Caenorhabditis elegans: one gene and its partners. The protein of the gene in region 4 interacts with the protein of the main gene of each other region in a biochemical or structural test. Each region holds a gene or a part of one and is shown on either strand. Other genes may lie near its edges.

The links.
Region 1: the proteins of flp-19 (region 4) and frpr-9 interact in a test that uses a peptide from one of them, tested with the Caenorhabditis elegans proteins (one large-scale study listed by BioGRID).
Region 2: the proteins of flp-19 (region 4) and dmsr-7 interact in a test that uses a peptide from one of them, tested with the Caenorhabditis elegans proteins (one large-scale study listed by BioGRID).
Region 3: the proteins of flp-19 (region 4) and frpr-8 interact in a test that uses a peptide from one of them, tested with the Caenorhabditis elegans proteins (one large-scale study listed by BioGRID).

The regions. Positions count from the first base shown.
Region 1 is NC_003283.11:10,990,364-10,995,485, forward strand, and holds frpr-9 (G-protein coupled receptors family 1 profile domain-containing protein), read left to right. Parts: upstream 1-1,734; 5' UTR 1,735-1,735; coding exon 1,736-1,835; intron 1,836-1,883; coding exon 1,884-1,984; intron 1,985-2,036; coding exon 2,037-2,301; intron 2,302-2,342; coding exon 2,343-2,625; intron 2,626-2,822; coding exon 2,823-2,849; intron 2,850-2,991; coding exon 2,992-3,072; intron 3,073-3,236; coding exon 3,237-3,441; intron 3,442-3,531; coding exon 3,532-3,723; intron 3,724-3,767; coding exon 3,768-3,846; intron 3,847-3,894; coding exon 3,895-4,101; intron 4,102-4,395; coding exon 4,396-4,454; 3' UTR 4,455-4,608; downstream 4,609-5,122.
Region 2 is NC_003283.11:5,403,521-5,408,913, forward strand, and holds dmsr-7 (G-protein coupled receptors family 1 profile domain-containing protein), read left to right. Parts: upstream 1-1,832; 5' UTR 1,833-1,849; coding exon 1,850-1,935; intron 1,936-2,002; coding exon 2,003-2,215; intron 2,216-3,070; coding exon 3,071-3,214; intron 3,215-3,410; coding exon 3,411-3,669; intron 3,670-3,717; coding exon 3,718-3,848; intron 3,849-3,896; coding exon 3,897-4,022; intron 4,023-4,233; coding exon 4,234-4,374; intron 4,375-4,438; coding exon 4,439-4,513; intron 4,514-4,563; coding exon 4,564-4,678; 3' UTR 4,679-4,866; downstream 4,867-5,393. Other genes in the region: C25A6.1 (Serine/threonine-protein phosphatase), read left to right, coding at 5,008-5,331.
Region 3 is NC_003284.9:8,696,069-8,703,351, reverse strand, and holds frpr-8 (G-protein coupled receptors family 1 profile domain-containing protein), read right to left. Parts: upstream 5,536-7,283; coding exon 5,312-5,535; intron 4,434-5,311; coding exon 4,331-4,433; intron 4,044-4,330; coding exon 3,822-4,043; intron 2,818-3,821; coding exon 2,576-2,817; intron 2,244-2,575; coding exon 2,100-2,243; intron 1,607-2,099; coding exon 1,484-1,606; intron 1,436-1,483; coding exon 1,351-1,435; intron 1,196-1,350; coding exon 1,160-1,195; intron 656-1,159; coding exon 530-655; downstream 1-529.
Region 4 is NC_003284.9:10,602,705-10,606,352, forward strand, and holds flp-19 (WANQVRF-amide), read left to right. Parts: upstream 1-1,981; 5' UTR 1,982-2,121; coding exon 2,122-2,179; intron 2,180-2,345; coding exon 2,346-2,458; intron 2,459-2,768; coding exon 2,769-2,867; 3' UTR 2,868-3,127; downstream 3,128-3,648. Other genes in the region: Tyrosine-protein kinase abl-1, read right to left, coding at 3,495-3,633. UniProt on the Caenorhabditis elegans protein: FMRFamides and FMRFamide-like peptides are neuropeptides. WANQVRF-amide inhibits the activity of dissected pharyngeal myogenic muscle system.

The DNA of each region.
Region 1 (5,122 bases), on a different chromosome or scaffold from region 4:
TGTCTTTTCTCATTTTTATTGTTTTTGTTTTTGACGGATTTTGAATTTTCATCAAAAAAAAGTTCAAAATCTATTGTTCTCAAGCCGGAACTTTTTATTTAAAATTAAAAAAAAAACCCCCAATAGAGTGTCTTAAAATTCCATTTAAATTCCATAATGTTTATTGGCAAAAATACGATTAATTGACTGTGAGAATTGTAACTTGAAATTCATGCAATTATATCACTTCTCATAAAATATATAATCGAACAGATTATCGATAGAAGTAGAAGCTCTTGTTAAATCTTTCTTCGTCTTGGAAGGGGATTCCGTGAGTCTCAGCAAATGAACAGCAATAAATTGAGCTATCGTCGCCTACGTTCATTCTGCTTGATAGTTTTTTGTTGAAGACGTGCTTGAATTTCTATCGGCTATAAATAGATTATTCGAAAATTCCAATTGACTGAACACGGCTCCGCCAAGCTTTCTTTGTTCGCTTAGATTTTTGAGATTCATATTTCAAGTTTTATTCATTTGTCGTTGAATATCCATCGCGACTGTGTATACTTACAGTTTTACGTCCGAATGATTTATTTTTATTACTAGTAAGACTCACGAAACTTACGTTAGCGACTTCACTTCTCCCAATATCCATTCCGCCGAATCGTTGGGTGACGGGTAAGCTTCTCCCCCGTTTTTTATTGTTAGATCGCCCTCATGGCGCCCTAACAATAGCTTTGTGGAAATGTTTTGTCATGTTTTTTATATGTTTCTGTACAGTTTTGTTTTTTTTTCCTTTTTCTTTTTTTGGGTACTTTGTTTGGGTAAATCAAGAAGAGCCGGGCGAGCGTAAGTCGTGCCTTTGTAGAATATATGTAATTTTTTCAAAGTAATTCCATTTTTTTCTTCAATTTCTCCCCCAGAACGGTAAAAGTTTTGATTTGAATTCTATCTTATTGTAAATAAGGTTCACCGTAGCTGTTATTGAAATGCAAATTAAACAGCGGAAGTCAAGTTCTTATTATCGAAAAATGCACGTTTACTTTTTTGAATAAATTTTCGAAATAAATTTTTTCACATCATTTTATAGAACTGAATAATTTGATCGATTTTAAAACATTGCGATCGAGCGTTCCTTTTATTAAGTTTGGTTCATTCAATCATTCCGATTGATGAGTTATTATTTTATATGGTTTATGTGTGAACTTCATTGAATTCAAATCTGATATTATTAGCATTGTTCAAAATGTTCGGAAATTATCAGTTTTATACATTGTGTTAAAAACGAATGATATCATATACTAATTTGCACTTTTAACAAATATATCAAGAATATACTGAAAAAAAAAGAATATCGGAAGCAAAGACTACATGGCATTAATTGAATAATGAACTAAATCTCACAAAGCCTTTCCTCACATTCACAAAATATAAAATAAAAAGGATTAATAATGTAGACCAATATCTTTTAGATTCTATATTTAGTTAACTTCATACTTGAATATTCACCTCCGTTTCCTCCTACACTTCTTAATCTTTCAATTTCAATTGAAGACCTTGGATATTAATAGTTAAATTTTGATTTTATCGAGATATGCACCGGTCACTCTCAACATTTTCTTTTCTTATTAATCGTTTTGATTCATTTTTTGTTTCTTTCTCTGTTTGTATTTCCAATGTTTTTTACCTGCATAAACTCTCCACCTCTTTCTCTATCTTAAAAAATGACGGATTTCAAGTTCGTGCTTTCAGACTGATGACATCTACTGTCATCTACGTTCCAGACATTCAAGAATTACCAGAATGTGAGCCATCAGTATTCAATGATATTCAGGCAACCATTCGATTATTCGGAGGTATTATAAAATTCTGTTTATTTTTATGAAAAAATTAATTAATTCCAGGCATGCCAATTGCTATATTTGGTTTTATCACAAACGTGATCAATGTGATAGTATTTTGTGATCCAGAGATGCGATGTTCTCTTGTAAATCATTTTTTATTGGTGAGAAACTTTTAATTTCCATCTAAAAAAATTTCTGATATACTGTATTCAGGTGCTCTCAATTTCCGATCTAGTACTTTTGGTGTGTAATTTCTTTATGCTCATATTCCCAGTTATTGCATCAATGAGCAATAGCTATTTGTTACATGATTATTATCCTGTATTTCTGTGGTTTGCGTATCCAGTTGGATTGAGTACACAAACTTGTGGTGTTTATCTCACAGTTCTGGTTTCTGTGCACAGATATTTAGGAGTTTGTCATCCTTTTCGAGCAAAACGATGGGTTTCTGGAAAACCTGTTAAATGGGCAATTATTGGTAAGTGCATAATTTTTTTTTTAATTTGTTCATTTTTTCAGGCTCAATAATCTTCAGTATAGTAATAAATCTTCATACGTGGCTTGAATTGGACATTCGTCCTTGCTATTCTATCAACTTCAATGCACCTATCAGTTCAATTATATTAACAAGTTTGAGACAAAAATCATCATACAATTTGATAACAAAATGTATAATGTATACATTGATAATGTTCATCATTCCATTCATTACACTTATAATAGTTAATTGTCGAATTGTGGTTGCATTGAAAGAATCAACGAGAATGAGAAATGGTCAATCAATGAAGAAAAGCACACAATCGTAAGTTTTTTTTCTGGATCAAAGTTTTTATTTTAATGGCAACTTGAAGTTTTTTTTCTGAATTCTTCTAGAGATTCAATAAAAGAAATCCCATAAGGCTTTTGAATTTATTTCTAAAAAATAAAGGAAATAAACCGAGGGACGGAACTTTAAAAAAACATGTTAAAATTTTACACTAAAAAATTAAACTGTTCCAGTAGATTCACCTGGAAATCTCTCGACAAGTAAGTTTGGTTATGTTAGTCATTTATTTTGGCCTGCATATTTTCCCCCGCGTGTTTTCCTGAATTACCCTTTTGGAATGGCGTGCTTGCTTAGCTTTTGTCAGGATTTGTGTATACGATATTATCTTTTTATCATTTTCAGACGAATTATGAATAATTTTCGGATGCTCAAAGGTGCCAAATACAGTGAGTTATTTGGAAGGTTCGGGCGACTCAATTTCAAGTAAGTGAAAAGTGAAACTTTTTTCATTTAAATTGGAACTTTAAAATGTCTAAAAATACTGAGAGACAGCCATTTTTGTTAATTTTCAAGAAAATTAGTTTAACAATATAAAATCATATTAAAGACGAATCTTCATTTTGAATTACATAACATTATAATTTCAGCCCGTTGAAAACGCCATCACTTCTAAAAACAAATGGAAATTCTCTTCGTGATCGTTCTGTAACTCTTATGCTTCTTGCAATTGTTGCCATATTTCTCTGCTGTAATTGTCTTGCATTCTGCAACAACATCTACGAAAACGTGCAACATGTAAAAAAACATGCATCGGATTCTCAATCCCTGAATCAAACTTCATTTGTTCCAGAGGTAACCCATTTTTATACTTTAACGTACACTCAAAATTAATCTCTGAAAAATCGGAATAATTTTACAAATAAACTTCCTAATAATTTCCAGATCGAAGAACAATCACAAGATTATGATGGTGAATGGAGCATTTTTAATGAATGGAACTTTGACCTTTCTGTTGAAATATCAAATCTTCTAATCAGTTTGAATTCATCCAGTTCTATGTTTGTATATCTGATTTTTTCATCAAAGTACAGATCAATTATCAAACACTGGCTGGGATTAGAGAAGAGAAAAAGAGTATGAAAATATCTGAAATTCTAAAACAAAAATTTGATTTTCAGACAAATGGAGTTGCCTTAACAACAGTGATGGCCGCTCAGAAAGCATTGGAGCTTTCGATTCTTCCAGATGAAGTTGAAGGTGATTAGTTCTGTACTATGTGTTATCATTCAATTTAAAAATTTCCAGCCCGTCGTCATAGAAAAGAAAAATCACATTTTGTAAAAAATAAGAAACAAATGAACAAATCAGCTCAATTATTTCTCACAACATCAGAAATTGATCTTCGAAAAGCAAGAACGATTCGAAAAGAACAAGAAGACGAAGAAGAAGAAGAGGAAGAGATTCGAGAAATTCAAAGCGATGAGCCAAGTGCAGCCAGTAATCTTTCTAGAGGTATAAGGTCTAAACATAAAACACGAAAAATATTTTTCTTGACTATTTCTTATTGACATTTGGCTGATCAGCCCGTCATGCGATACCAAAATTTGTGGAGCATTATTTGAAAACTTTGGGTCAAGTGAAAATAATAAGTATTTCCACAAATCAAAAAACCCTGCGCGTTATACAAAAAGTTGTTGCCCTTAAAATGCTTTTGAGAAAAAACTCATTTATCCTAAGCACTAATTTGTTTTAAAATTAATTTCTACTTTTTGACAAACGTGTTCAGTAATAATACAATTTTTTCAGATGATCAAAACCGTTCAAGCTCGAAACGAAAACTTCTTCGATTTGCCACTCTCGCCTAAAATCTAATTCACTTGTTTATATTTGTAAAAGAATTTTCCTCTTTATTTTACGGGTTTTTAAAAATTGATCTCGAACGTTTCCTCCAGTTCAATTATTCTCAACTTTTCTTTTGTTTCCATTTTATGACCTCAATGAAGATATAATAATGATAAAAAAGATTTTAAAGTGAGATTGGTGTGTGGGCTCTCATGGCAGGGAGCCGTTCAATTGTCGACAATATATCATTTTGTGCATTAGGTCGGACTTCTCTAACCATTGAGATTCAGGTGAGGAGCAAGAGAATGCTCAACGCATTTCTTCCAGTTGCTTTTTTTAAGTTCGCACTTTTCACGATGGATAGTTATTAGTATCATTTCTACGATTTCATAGACTTTAACAACATTTCGTTTAAGTTCTGGAGCTTGATGTGAAGTTATGGCAGTATGACTAGTTTACCTGCAAAAATACTGTTACAAATACTCCACTTTTCGAAATTATTTTCATAATACAAAGTTAAGAGGACAGATTTATGTTCCTCATAAACTTTGAGCATGAACAAAATTAAAATACTATCTATGTATACATACGTAACATCTCTGCTGTAACTTTTTCAATAATAGTCCTGTATGATCATATTTCACTTTGGCCCCATTGTGGCAAAGACTTAGGATATGCTTCACAAAAGTAT
Region 2 (5,393 bases), on a different chromosome or scaffold from region 4:
ATGATAGCAAAAGTCAGAGCCACTGTAACTAAATAATGTGCTCAAACTGAAAAAAAACGGAGGCATTCCAAGCAGCCGCCTGAATCATTCTATCCGGGAGTCTGCACAGCCATCTGAAAGATTAGTCTAGAATTGAGCATTAGGAAACTTGTGGAGGAGCCAGAAGGAACCAAGAAAGGCTCCTCTTCATTGCCCAAAGTTTTGTTGTGATTTGTGCATCCCAATTCTCTCCTCTCACTATTCCTACCCCTCCTTCTAGTCCTTCTTTTTTTTTCCTCCTTTTTGCTCGTCACTTTGAAAATAATGCAGTCTCGTCACTGCTTTTCAAGCACTAGAAGCTGCTTGAACTGCAAATTGAATTTGAGGAGAAGCTTCGCCATTTTGTTTCGAGTAAAAAAGACAATGAACACGTTACGTGCGCAATCCACCATTGGTAGCGCCTCTCCTTCCTCCAGTTTTTGCCCCTTTTCAGCTTTTTTCCTGCATTTTTCTCATTTCTCCCCCAATTAGGCTCTCTGCATTTTAAGGTGTTAGAGAATTAGCTAGGTCACTCTTTTGATTTCTTGAAACAAAGATGAAATGTTCAGTGGTCAATAGTCAATAGGCACATCACTTCAATTCCCAAGGGACTTGAGCTTTCTTTCTTCCCCTTTTGACTGCGCCTGCGCCCCTAAACTTTTTTTTTCCACGTTTTCCTTATTCATAAGTCGTGAGAATATTCGATTTTCCGATTCATCTTCTCTGGAAGATGAATTCATTAACTTTGAATGCCACATTTCTGTCTCGAAATCCATTCTGTTTCAAATGTTTCGGTGTGTGTGAAGCAGCACCACACAACAAACATTTTCACAAGATGGCCCCCTGATTTTATATGTTTTATGGTGGCATGAAATACCAAAGTTTAAAACTTTTATACTTAACTAATAAGTTTCTGTTCTAGGTAGGACTAACATGGTAGGCAGGCGCATAAAATTTGAAAGCAATAAATTTGAATTTCGATTAATTTGATGAAAAGCAGGTGGACCTAACTTTGAAGTCCGGCAGGTAGGCAGTCGTTTGGCGCCTACCTAGAAGCCCTAGATCTAGGTTACATGTTCACAAGAAACAGAAAGTTGAGCGAAAGATTAAACATTCACGAACGAGTGTGCTTCACAATTATAATCATCGCAATTATAAAACTGCTGAAAAATATGCTTACTATGTTTTAAAAGACTAGTCTTGCCAAGATAAGTTGGCAGGCATGCCTACATGCCTACCAATTATTTTGTGCATTTTCAAGATCTGCTGAAATCGAAAAAAATTATTTTAAAATGTTTTAAACCCAAATAATAAATATTTTGATAAATATGGCTCTCTTTTACGGTTTCGAGTGTCATTTTTTTTTAAACATGCAAAATTTACAAAAGAATTTACGCGTTTTTTGCAATTTTTCGCTCACTTTGTTTTCGAAAACAAACAAATCTACCGCCCTGGCCGGCAAAAAAATAGGTTTTTTGGTTTTTTTTACTCTAGGAAATAGTTTTTAAAAAATAAAAATCTTCAATCAAAGATTTTTACAATTTTTCAAAGTATTTTCCTGCTATAGAAATAACAACTCACGGAACAAAAATAACTTCCGGCCAGTGACCTATAATTTTGTAAATTTTTTGAAAAACGAAATTATATATTTTGTTCGAAAACTCGATCAGCTTCTTCCACAACAACCGACTGTCATCTAAAAGTTCAAAAAACACAGAACGCATTCCACCCTGTTGCTCTTGGCTTCTTCTGATTTTCTCCTTATGTTTCTTTGTTTCAATGGTCTTTAAAAACCCCTTAAATTTTCAACATTTTGAAGGATGTGCTAGATATGGAATGTCCGCACGATGCTCAGTTGTTTGATCCGAACAGTAACAGTACGCAGGCATTTCTTCGGAAACTTGCACATTTTCAAAGGTTTGTTAAACTATTTTTTGTGCACTTCTTTCAAAAAAAGAAAAATGAACCAATGATTAATTGTCAGATGGTACCAGCCAATTCACGGATATGTATGTGTGCTCATCTGCGTTTTTGGTATCTTCACCAATTTTGTGCATGTGGCAGTTTTATCGAGACCCAACATGCGCAATTCGGCCGTCAACTGCATACTGACAGCAGTGGCTGTCTGTGATATCGGAACAATGGCATCCTATCTCATTTATATTATACATTTTGTCTTACGACGAAATAATTCCTGGTAATTCTTGTGTGTTTATTGGGTGGAAATGTTTTTGTTTTGGGAAATGGAGCGGCGTGGCGGCTTTTGAGTAGGAACATCAACAAATATGGAATTTTTGGAAAAATAACACAAGCTTTAAAATATTTATTTTCTGGTTTTTCCTATTCCAATTTTATGGTGAATTGCAAAACCCGGAAAATGTCGGTCACTTCATAAAAAGGATGTAGAGTTCGAAGGCGCTGATTGGTTTAAAAATAGTCATGGCTTCTCATTTTGGAAAAATTCAAATATGAAAATTCGCAATTTCAAAAATTGGACATTTTTAAATCTTTCTCGATTTTTTAAGTTTCCTTTTTTTTTGATTATGCAGCATATATTTGAATATTTCGAATACTTTGAAACAAAATCCTTATTTTCCAAACTCTACCTCAAACCATTAATAACAAGAATTCAAACTAAGTGTGCTCTTTCTATTGAAAATTTTGAAGGATATTTATATTCTTCTATTTTTCCACTCAAGTATCAACACACACACACAAAAAAACATCCTCAAAGTAATAATGGAATTTCAAAAGTTGAATGCCCATGTTCGTCACTTGCTGCACTTAATTGAAGAGGCATAGAATTTTAGTTGAACCTGGAACTATTTATTTCCTCCTATCCGTTTTATGTGCATCAAAACATGAAAACAACTGCATATTTTATTGATCATAGGAAATTTTGAAAATCGTCACAAAGCTACAAACTACGTGTATTCATAAATAACAAAAGTGAATTCAAGATGAAAAGTCGCTCGTAAAATGATACTGAAAAACACGAAAACAAGCGTTTGCAATGAAACTCAATAATTTTTATTATTAGATTTTATTACAGCACTCCAACGTTCACTCATTCTTGGTTACAATTCCTATTGTGGCATGTTGTTTTGAGCATCACACTACACACAACTTCTTTATGGCTCGCTGTGGCGATGGCGTTCATTCGGAGGATGACATTAAGGGTTACCGCTTTGAATAGGTATGCTGGGAGCAAAGTTTAAGGGACTAACATTTTTTTATACACTAAGATGAACAAGTTTTGTAATGAAAGTTTTCAAAATTTTTTTCAAACAATGGTAGGTATCCAAAAATATTTAAAATTGAAATTTTACAAAGACATTGCAAGCAATATACCCAGAAACGTTGGCCCCCTTAAAAAATCTGGAAATTTTCAGTCAATGGCAACGACCAAAGTTCGCATGGAAGTTGTGCCTGGGAATCTATATGGTCGTATTTGTACTTTGTATTCCAAATATGCTGGTCCACGAAATCGCCCGTGTAGAAGGAAATGACTGGCGACCTGGCAAAACGTGTCAAAAATTTGCATCGAACTACTCTGAACCGGTGTACACTTTTATGGTCAGCCACGCGGCGACTATCAACAATTGCCGGTTGTTTAAATGGAATATTTGGATGATTGGAATTCTGTTCAAGGTTAGCGAGTACGCGAGTTATCAAATTAAACGTCCTACCAGTTTTCAGATCATTCCATGTATTCTGCTAATTTTCTTGTCTTTCGGCCTTGTATCAAAGATTAGAGACGCAGAAAAGCATCGGAGGAAACTAACGAGTGTTCCGTCAAATGCATCAACAGATTCAAAACCATTGAAAAAGTATAGTCAACTCTCAAAGAACTTTTATGACAAAATGGAAATTTTCAGAAAGAATGGAACATCAGATAGAACCACATTGATGCTTGTTGTTATTTTATTGGTATTTTTAATAACGGAGTTTCCACAAGGAATCATCTCGATTCTTTGCGCAATTTTTACTACAGACGTTCATAGGTAAGATTTGATGTTTAACTAGAAATTTGGCCTGGAAAAACTGAAATCGAACTGCCCCAAGCTTGACCCAATTTTTCTTGAGTCATTTGAATTTTTGGAAATTTGGGTGCAGGCTGAGTCTTGCAAAAGTGTTGCTAAATTTTTGTTGGCCCAATTAAAGCTAAAATTGGGCGCTAAAGAAGTTTTCGAAAAATTAAATTTTCCATTTCAGATACCTCTATTTCTACATTGGTGATGTTCTTGATCTCCTATCGCTTGTCAATTCCTCTGTAAATTTTGTTTTATATTGTGTGATGTCTTCAAGATACCGGCAGACGTTTTGGGAAGTTATCATTCCTTCGTGGGCTTGTGGGTAAGTTCATTCTTATTGAACCAGTTCCTGTTACAGTAGTCTAAAATAAAATTTTTCCTCTCAGATTGTGGACGACCCGTCGTGGTTCTCCGACGGAACTTTCACAGCTTCAGTTGAACAACAGCTTACGACTAGGAAGGTCAGTTAATTTGTTTTTGAAGTCTGGAAAATATTATCTTTAATTTGCAGAAAACAAAGCTATACGCCACTGGCAACTGAACCGGAACCAGCACGCAATGAGTATTGGCGGTATGAAGCTTCCGTGTCGGACAATCAGAACAGCAGTAGAGAACATCAACTTTAAATTCCAATTTTTTCGATCTCGGTACAAATTCCCTTTGCAGATTTTTTGTGATATCTTGCTCATTTTCATAGCTTTCGCATTTTCTATTCTATTCTTGTTACGGGTACTTTTTGTTTTTTATTAATTCAGTTTTTATATAAATCAATATGGTTTACAAAATTATTAAATTATTCACGGCGCCGTGAAAAAAAAATTGTTTACAAAAAGACACGTAGATGTGAGTAAAACTAGGAAAAAAAATTATTTTCAATTGAAAGTGATTTCCGAAAGGTGAGTTCTCTTTTTCTCTTCCAGGAATCAAAAGTTAAAAAGGTTTGATGTTTTAGATTATGAAAGACGACGTCGTTGACAACATAATAATTGATGTCCTGAGCGCTAGTACTCACGAAAAGCTACTTTCCGAAGTGATCACGGAAGGACGAGTTCTAAAGCTTCTCGATTTGGCACTGGATGTATTTAAAAGACAGAAATCAATGGTTGAAATGAATGCTCCGATAAAGGTGTGCGGTGACATCCATGGACAATTCCCGGATCTTCTTCGTCTCTTCCATCGTGGTGGATGGCCGCCGACTGCGAATTATTTATTCCTTGGTGACTATGTGGACCGTGGAAGATTTAGCATTGAAACCATTGTTCTTCTTCTCGCTTATAAGGTTTGTTGCTTTAAGTTTTGCAAAAAGAAGCTAGGATCAAAAATTGTGACGCGCCAGAATTA
Region 3 (7,283 bases), 1.9 Mb from region 4:
TAAATATACGAGAAATTTACTTTATTGGACCATTGCTGTATTTCACAATGAAATCTTGAGCATTATCATCCAAAAACGTGAATTCAAAAATTGCGGAGAAAATATAAAACTATATAAGTCTGAAATAATCAAACTTGGACTCAATTAACAATTTTCCGAGCAATTTTTAGTGACACTTAAGTAAAACTAGCCAAGCTGAAATGAATTGGTCAAATGTTAGCAACCCAAGAAAATGAATACAAAAGAGATCGCAAGAATCGGGATGATTTTGGAGGGAGATGACCAGTACTACTTTTAGACTAGACAATTTGTAACTAGTAACTTTTGATTATGGCAGGCAGGTGAAAAATAAATATTAGAAACGAAACAAAAAAAAACAAAACAGAAATGAAGCGTTCAATTCATAATGATATTGCAGTTCTTATCAAATAATACATGGTATCGAAAAAATGCTCAAATTAACAAAATCCATGAAGATGTGCAGTAAAGATATATACAGAAACATGATAAAGGTTTGACGTGTTTTCCGTTATGAAGGTGCGCTTTGAAGCGAAAGTCTGTTTTGAGCACTTGTGTAGATTACTGTATCTTTTCGAGCAGGAGCTGCTTGATGTGGTGCACCACTTTGACTCCGTTTACTCCATCGGCGAGAACTCTGAAACACAAATTTTTGAAACTTTATGGAAACTTTATTTTACATACTGTATGTTTGAGTATTATAGTTAATTACTAAAGAAAAAATGGATGTTTCAAATATGAACGTCAAACTTTCGGTAAATTAACAAATTACCAAAACAGTAACGAAACAGCTATATTGTTTAAATATTATTGATGGAAAGATAATTAAACTGTGAAACTTGTTTAAAAAATTTTGTCCGCTTTCCACAGTTATCATATTAAAAAAATTTGCTTCAAATTTATAAACTACTCTATTTAAAACGCATTAACCCCAGTTTCCAATCAGAACAAATTATGTTAGAACCAATATTATCAAGAAATCAAAAAATAAATCAAATAAAAACTCTAAGAGGTTGGAGATTAAGTATATTGGGGAAAATGGGTAAGGTACATGCAAATCAGTCCGGGGAGAAAATGAAACTGCACACGAACTAAATGCGTTTCTAGACAATATTATTTCTATTTTCCACACAAAACTTACCACCGGGTAGGTTATGAAATTCGAAATCGTCATTCGCTGTAATGGTTCTTTTGAAAACAATTTACAAAGCAGTATACCAAAAAGCAAAAGCATAGTAAAGAAATATGAAATTGTTTTCAATTAATCGAGAATGTTCATTAAAGAAGAATAATTAATAATGAATGTACCGATTTACTTTTTTTAAAGCTTACCCTCGCACTTAACAGAGCAGTACTGGCGTCCAAACTAGTTTTCCTCGTCGTACCATCTCTACCATCCCAATCACTGACCATGCTCCTGAATGACAATTTTTAGAAAATTTGAACAATGCAGTGATAGAATTACTGAGGTGGGTACCTTCCAACTTTGAGCCACTCCATCCATCGACTTTGTCGCCCGCAAAGCATGAGGACACACATTTGACGAAATCGGGCTCCGAATAACGAGTAGATCACGATGTTGGAAGCGCTAAAGGTTATTTGTTCATACATACAATTCAAAAACCTTGCCACACTAGGGCTTAAGTTCATTTATTTTTCATTCAATAACTCTATTTGAAAAACGATTCAGCATCATGCACTTCCAATTTTATAACCTCTGTGATATAAAATTGGAAGGTGGTGTTTGGTATAAAATGTTTACTTGTTCATTTTCAAAAGTTTGCGTTGATGTTGAGGATTTTAAACTTTTAGATTGAATGATTTATTTCACCGAACTTGATTCAGACTTCTTTGAAAATTTTTTTGAAATTACTTAGGGTCATTTTCAGTGTTTCAAAGCATCTTAAAATCATGGCAATATTTGGAAAACATTTCGAAAAGACAGATTGAACCCAAAAAGTAACCCGGAAAAGTTTCTTTTTCCATACTAATGTGCTCTCTGCCACTTTCATGTAGAAACCGATTCTAAAGTTTTTCGAGCACACAGCTTCTAACACGTTATAATTACTAAAACTTCTTACCTGTTTAAACAAATTAGCAAATTTCCAATGGGACTCCAAAATCCTAAGCTCACTTCGAACACCGTCTCAGCCAAGTTGTTCACTGCTGCTACTACGTTGAAGATCAAGAAAGTGAGCACCATAGCGATGGCCATAAGAGTGCATCTGAGACTGTTTCTGAACTTGGGAGACAAACTGTTTTCTACTGTTTTTGAATTTTGTCGAATCGAAAAAAAAGAGGGAGAAAAGTTCTGAGCGATAGTTGTTTTCAGATAATAAAAAATAACAAAAACATGCAAAAATCAAAAAAGCTGGTTCGGTTCTTGTAATAAACGTTAGCAGTCCATGCTTGAAATAAGAAAAATAAATAATCATTAAAAAATGTAAATCGATGTATTTGAAAATTTTTAAGAAACTAGAGAACCGAACTTAACATCAAAAAACTGGTGAAACCAAAGTTTAAAAAATAATTAAAAATAAAAATGATAAAACCACACCTCCGATCTTTTTCTTCTTGATTATTTTTTCCTCCTTGCATAGACCTCCGAATCTTATACGCCTTGTGTACAGCCTTTACCACAAACACATTCAGTATAATCATTACTGTCCATGGAATCAATAACAGCGCGATGAGGTACCCAAATGTTACGTAGTACTCTTTGTAGTACTTATTATCCCGCAGAAATGAGGTTCTCAGTCGACCACAGTCATCGTTGGTCAACTCGAAGAACATTGGTGCCTGAAGATGACTTGTATCACGGATAGTCGCCTACTAAACTTATTACGATGTTCCTCAGTTTGCAAAGTAGTACATTAATTTAGAACATTTAGAATAACAATCCATATAGTCTTTTGAATCAGAAAATAACACAAAAAAAGAAACTACCAATGTTGTATTCACAACCTAAAAGTTTTGCGTGGTTCAAGTTGGCCGTAAAATTAAAACAAGATGAAAAAAGGTAGGGATTTTGTATAATTGTACCTAACTCATTTTTTTTAAATTAAATTTTGAGCTAAATATCAGTGCTGTGCGGCTTGCGCCGAGAGCCGACTTTTTTCAAGGGCCGCACAGCACTGCTAAATATTGAAAAATCTCTAAGTTATTCATTGAAACTAGGGGAACCTAAAAAGCGTATTGTAAGTTTTCTAGTGTTTTTGAGTGTACTTTTTTTCAATTTGTAAAATTACAATCTGATGGAAAATAATTTATAAAAAACAGCGATTTTCGAGTTAATATTAAATATTATAAATACTGGAATTTCAAGCTCATCTGCTTTTCCTCCACAGAATTTTTAATTTTGTGATAATGTAAATTACGAATTAATTTTTTTTCAACTTTCATGTTTTCCCCGGTGTCTTAGAAATCAAAGTCAGTAGCTCTTGTGTTTTGATATACACACGCAAATGTATATTTTAAAAATTCTAAAATAAAATTGAACATTTTCACACAGTGATCAACTTATTATCAATGAACAGTGTGCTGACATGTTTAATATTCTGAATGCTTGAATGATTTTAAAACTGGGGTCACAAACTCTAATAGCATTGATGTTTGTTTTCACAAGAAATTTTATTTTAAAAAACCTTTAAACTACAATTATCGTAGCAACAGACTTCCGTAATATGCAAATTTGATATATTATAAAAACATTACTTTAGACCATAATAGTCAGGATACGAAACTTTAAAACGTTGTGTGTATTTCGAAATACAAAATAAAAAATTGACAATTCTTGTACTTACTTTGAACAATATGCTAAAAACCGTAATCGCAATAAGTATTGTTGTTGCTCGGCGCGGTGTGCACCAAATTTTGCTATGAAGCGGATAGTTAACAGCAAGAAATCGATCCACCGTCACTGCAACACATGTCCAGACACTACCACATTGTGCGATATTTGATATGGGTAACGTCCAAGGAGTTGATCTCCAGAAGAAATGACAAACCGCGGTGTCCCCGTGACCCTGAATAGTTTATTTGAATTATTGCTAACATAGTTGTTTTTAGTGGTGTTCTGAAACATTCATATTTCTGGAAACATAAATTATACGCAGTTTCTAAGACATTAGAAAATTATTTCAGACCTTGATGAAACTCGAAGTTTTGAGAAATATTAAATCCCTCTTCAATATCATAAATAACTTTTTTCATTTCTCTTTCCGTGCTATGAGCTTATCGATGAATAAATTGATGGACATTTCTTCATCTCATTACAAATTCCACTGAATATCAACCAGTTATCTACGCTCACCTGCAAAACGCAACCTTGGAGAGGTGAAAAGATCAGAGCACTGAATGAAAGCAGGATAAGATCGAAAACCGATAATCCGGCAAGATATACGTTGAGTGATGATCTGAAGTTAAAAATATTTTGTATTTCTATGTATCCTTATTTGCTCTTTTTTCTTGAAATGAGTATTTGAACAGACTACCAAAGAAAATTAAAACTAAATAAATGGGGAACAATTTGATGTCATTAATTTTTCAAAAAGATTAATACAATCAAAAAAAATCATAAAAATGTCGTCAGTTGTACATGAATTAAAATGTTTATTAAGGGCCAAGAAAATTTGAAATCACTGTTTCAATTGAATTGTGCAGCAAGAACAAATTGAAAGATTTATTTGAATAGTTTTTGATCATTTTTTGAAATGAATAGCAGCCTAAAGCTATAGCTCGTTTTTGACTAATGTGAGGTAAATTTTTATAAATATATAGGCTAATAAATATTTATTTTTAGAACTAAATAGCGTATTTTTATCAGGGAAAAACATTTGGTGTTTCCCTAACTTTATTTTTGATTTACTTGTTGGACAAGACTCCTTCTTTATTCGACAAAAAAGGCAGAAACATAATTTGTGAAAAAAAAAACTGCTATCGTTTTTTTTTCATATAAAAATTATTATTTTCCTGTGAACCATTTGGGGTACAGATATACACGCATCACATATTCATTTTTTTAGAAATAATGATTAAACATATTACCTATCCACGTTACTGTGTTTGTTAGAAGATATAGACGCAGAAAAATGAAAAAGTTTCCCTCGTACACGTTTCCGTAAGCCACGTGACTTCGTCGTCCTTTCTCAAAACGTTCGAAGTCTTTTCGTTGCGGGGAACAGATTTTCTTTGCGTCTCTTATATTTTCTAACTTAAAAAGTGAAGTGGATAGGTAATTCGAATTCAGTCCTTTCTAGATATACTCTCACAAGTACTCTTCAATAAAACGAACCTCATTTGTTTCCTAGTGAACACCACAATGCACATTACCGCAGCGCCGGCTCCCAGCACGCAAATTGTTGGAATGGCAAGCAGGTAAATATATGTGCTAATGTAATCGACCTCCGCAAAATTAGTTGGATAGCTGCATGTTCCTTTTGTACTTCCAGAAAAACCTGGCTGATCCGTAGTGACCAGTGTAGAATTATTAAGAAGCGAAATAACTGTCGAGTTCATAGCCAGAGGCCGAAGTGGTGTGGCACACACTGGAACACGATAAAAATTGGTTTTAGAAAGAAAAAAGGCTCTAACTAAGAGATAATTGAGTTTTGGTTGAAACGAAACAAAAAAGCGAAGACGGAGCAACCAAAGTTCAAAAGTTGAAAAAAAGAAGCAGTGACGTAGGGGTCTATTCAAATTTAACGATTAACATACATCCTTGAAAATGGTATTAGGTGACTAAATTCTTCAATATAAAACTTGTAAAACAAAACGAATATATATGAAACTTCGGAGAAAGTAGGAAGTAAAATTTATGGTATACATACTAACACAAAAATGAACTTGTAATTAGTTTATTCGAGCGAATAATTAAATGAGAACTTTTTTTCAAAATCAGAGTTTTGGTTTGTTAAGAAAAAGAAAGTAAACTAAGATAAGAGTGAAAATTTAAAACAAAAACACATAGTTGACAATTTCAGTAAGATACGTTTTTGTTACTCGTACTTTCAAAAAGTCTAGGAGAAAATACACTTATTTTCGAAAATTTTGAACAAAACCATCCACTAATTTCTTAAGTTTTTCTTTCTTTTCAAAACAAAAAAACAGTTGGATCTTCAAGACTAACTAGTCTTACTTTATTGATGCCTTACAAAATGGCTTCAAAAAAGTGAGTTCTGGTAAATAGTAGGGCATCAATGAAAAGACGAAGCAGAATTGAAATATACTACTAGTCATTTTTATGATGTTCGACTATATATAGTATCAAGAATTTGTGAATAACTACTGAGAAAAAGGGGACTGCATGGTCAGTAATGAATATGTTAGCGGAGAAGTGGAAGCCAAAAAGTCGTGAACGGCTGGTATCATCACGTAGCTTTCACAAAAACAAAGGAGGTTCTTTGAATAAGCAATGATGATTGAAGAAATGTTATTTGATATTTGAAACCTGTTCCAATTACGGGGAATAATAATTTACGAAAACTCACTTTAAATATGATTTGTCAAAATACAAGATTAGTTAAAGAAGTATGGTTTTACTGAGATATTGTACCCAAACCAAAATCAAAGAGCGATAAAGACTTGTTTCTGTTTAGAAAAAGAGTTTGAAAATTGGATTCTTTGTATTTTTAACTTTTATATGTAAAATAATACAATGATAAAATTTTTTCAAACGATTTTGATCAACTTATTCATTCTAATTGTAGATATACTCACTCACCAAAATGAAAAAAAGTTTAAAAAAAAAGAAAATTAACATGATGTCATTGTAATTTCCGGATAAAATATATACTTTAAATTGAAGACTTTGAAGAAAAAATTCATATTTTTTGGCAAGCTCTAGTTGACCATTCACATATTTCATAATTCATAGCTCAAGGACATATTTTTACACTCGTTGTTCAAACGAGCATTTTCTTGGAAAAAACATTCGATGTATTTTTGGAAGATGTATTCACTCTAAGAAAAACAAAAATATCGAAGTTCTAAAAGTGAGCTCTTGATATTCTTGCGTATTCATTTTAGCGGAAAAGTGAGCTTGACTCAGATAGTCATTATGTGCAAAGTTGTGTACGGAAAAATAGTCTTAAAAACTATAACGATAATTATCGAATTAAATTGAAAATGAAGGAAATGGATATGAAAAATACATTCGTGAACTTATAGGAACTGCAAAAAAAGCAAGAGGTGGATTATTCATTTCATACTTATTTAAAACGAATAAATACTAAAAGTGGAAGTAGAAAAAAGTTCACATATCGAAT
Region 4 (3,648 bases):
TATGTTTGCTTGGTTAATTCCATCAATGACGTGTATTTTCATAAACTCGAAATAATTGTTACCTTGTATGCTTTAAACTATGTTATGTATTTTTTGAATTTGCTCCATACATTATTTCAAGTGAAAATTGTTTATAAAAGTTGGCTCTAGTCAAAACGTGGTTTTGGAAAAAAAACACATTCACTGTAATCAAATTGTACTGAAATCAAGAAATTTGTTTTTTCTCAAATTTTGTGTTTTTCAAATGCTTTTGCGTCATCAAATTTGATTATCAAATCCCGAAGTCAGAACTTTAGAACCTAAAACTAAAATCGGAATTGAAACTGATGTCATCGTGGGAAAAAAACGGAAACCACATGTTATCACTTATTTATCCCTGATCGTTTGCTGTTAACTGATAGAATAAATGAAAGATGTTTCAACTTAAAATATAATAATATTCCACGTAAGCACTGGATATATTTTATATGTAACTCATCAACAAACAGTGTGATGTACAAATTATTATCATCATAAAAACAGATAAAGTCGAGGTAAATGTAAACGTTTTTAAATACAGACCAACAATTCCTCCGAAAAACTGTTCTTATTTAACTCAACCTTGTTCATAAATAACTTGGATGTGCATCTTGATTTATGACACTTATACAGTGTATTGTCTATTTTCATTGTTTTAGTTTGATAGATCGGAAAACAAGAGCTGAGATTGATTATTTGAAACGAGATTTATGATTCATTAGTCATGTATAACAAGTTCTGACAGAAGATTATGACTACAATGGTAGTAGAGTTTTCCCAGCCGAGTTCTCTATGATTGAGTACAATTTAACTTTCTCTTCTGATGAAAATGCTTTCAATGACGTCAATAGAAAAATCATAGCGTCGCCATAGAAGTGATTTTTTGGCTCCATGGTAGCCCGCCTCAGGAAGTGAGAATTTAAAATTTGAAATTCTAATCGTTTTCGAAAATGCTATTCTGGAAAAGAAACACATGTATGGTGTGTTTTAACTTTTTAGAATAAAAAATTTCTGTGGCACAACACAGAATTTAGCATTAAAATTCATGAAGCTCTCTGCGAGATATGGGTTGAAAACAGCAACAAATTAAAATTTAAATGAAATCTGTTTAATTTTTTGCTCCTTTCCTGCAAGCGCAAGCGTTGATGAGACTTCCGCTCACAAATGAAGTTTTATTTTTACAGCGTCTCTATTGATATCTAAGCGGATTATTTAAATTAAAAATAGTGTTACACTGTTTTTAATTTTCGCTTTCAGAAGTATTAACAATTTTCAAGTTTTATTAACTACACCTTATCAAACCGTTTTGTAACAACTACTTCATTTCTTTGAATTCCCTGCGGTAACATAGACTGAACACAAAATAATATAGAATTATCATGGTACCTGTTCAGTGACTAACTGAGAAAAATGCCAAAAATCACCAAATCCGTTATTAAGCGTCTAGACCGTATGTAGAATTGCTAAGAACAAGAACATTGTACCGCATGAAATAATGGAAAGTAATTTATAACATCTCCAAAATTCAATTTTTTGAAATTGGCCAGCAAAATTGGAACAACTATCATAACAAGTTTTCTCAAACGTTCTTTATTTTTAACTAAGTCGAGAACTGAAACAAACGCATTAAACTTCAATTTTTCTTTTCTTGTTCTTTTATATCCGGAAAACCACATTTCAGATCTCAAATCTAAACTAAGAGAAACTAAAAAAAAGTCTACCTTGAATTATAAAGTAGGTTTGAGAAAGCAACCCACACCTCAACTTTCGTGCTTCCGGATATCTTCAAATATCATCACTTTCTTATTTTCCGGGCTCGAAATACTGGAAAAACTTCTAGGCTGCACATCTTAAAAAGTAGCGGTGACATTCCTCCCATTCCCATCCTTCTCACTTTTGGTTCATTAGCACTATATTCCATAGTGCTCCACCCACATTTCACCGGTTTGTCGCGTCGTCTCTCATTCTTACTATAGAAAACTCTTGAATTCCTTGTAGATATCGCTTCTTAGTCTTTGACAAGCCACGTCCACAAAACCCGCGAGTGCTCTCAACGTGCCTCAAGGAGGACACGCCCACCACTGCTTCATTCATTGCACCGACATGTCCTTCCAGCTAACGCTGTTTTCCATGCTTTTCCTGTTAATTGCCGTAGTCGTCGGTGAGTTTATTTTTTATTAACAATTATCTTTGTCTTGTTCAATTTCAATTTTGTTTTCATTTATTAATATCACAAATCTAAGCCTATATCTCTCAACAGAACATTGTAAACGTGTTAGAGTCTAGACTGTTCTAGCAGAAGAATAGTCAATGAATAGGTATTTCAGGGCAACCAATTCAGTCACAAAATGGTGATTTGAAAATGCAAGCCGTTCAGGACAACTCACCGTTGAATATGGAGGCGTTCAACGACGATTCGGCATTGTACGACTATCTTGAGGTGAGCCATGGGCCAGAGCGGAACAAAAACCCAACTAATTTTGTGTGTTTGTTCATCTCGTTATGGGATTAGGTATCACCGTAGTCTCATCCTTGATGCAAAAAATAATGAGTTTTTTTTCTGATCCACTTCACGTCTATGCATCATTTTTTCTAGAATTCCTTTGAGGTACATAAATAAGCATTTGGGGACGGAAAGAAAACTCGGAGAATGTGAAATATGATTGCATTTAGTCCTTTTCATGTTTCAAAAATAGAATTTTGAATTCAAAAAGTAGAAAGGAATACAAGTTCAATTCAATTTCTTGCAGCAGTCGGACCCTTCTCTCAAGAGCATGGAAAAGAGATGGGCGAATCAAGTGAGGTTCGGTAAGAGGGCATCTTGGGCCAGCTCAGTCAGGTTCGGATAACCGGCTTTGCACAATTTTGACGGTCAGACATGGTTCAATACACCTCAAACAAATTGCGCACATCAAATCAGACTTCAGACGACAATCAGCACACCTTCCTTCTTTCTGTCCATCCTGTCCTTTTATATACGTTTTACCTTCTCCGTCTATACAAATTCTGTCACTTTTGGATTAACTCGCTTTTATTCTCATTACTCAATTCGATTCCATTATTCTTTGTATTGTCAAAAATTTAGCAATAAAGTTTGCGACTTGTTAAACATCGATGAAAGCATTTTATTTCATAATATGATGCATATTAACAATTATGCAGGACTAGAGTGAACATGAAAAGAAAAACAGAAAAAGTGAGAAAGGTTCACATAACAGTCAAAAATTAATGATAAAAGGAAAGAAGACGGTACACCGTTTAGTTGCACTCAGTGTGCAATGAAAAATAATGACAGGAAAAAAAAAAATTGAAGAAGACGAATAATCTCATCAGAAATGGTAGATGGAAGACAAACTACACGTTTTATTCAGTAGTACCTACTTGATGTTTCAGCTGCAGATTCAAAATAAAAAAGGAATCGGAAAAGATATTATGGTGTTTTGGAAGAAACAAACATGATAAAATAGAAAAAAGAATCAGCGATCCACCAGCCTCATGATTTGGTCGAAACAGTCCTGGAACGCCATTTTAAGTTTGTCATCAACTGGCTTCGCTCGAGGGTTGTGGGAAAATTTAATTTGTCGATTGTAGATTTCAAGTTGAGAAAGAAGTTCTCTGAAATTGAAATGT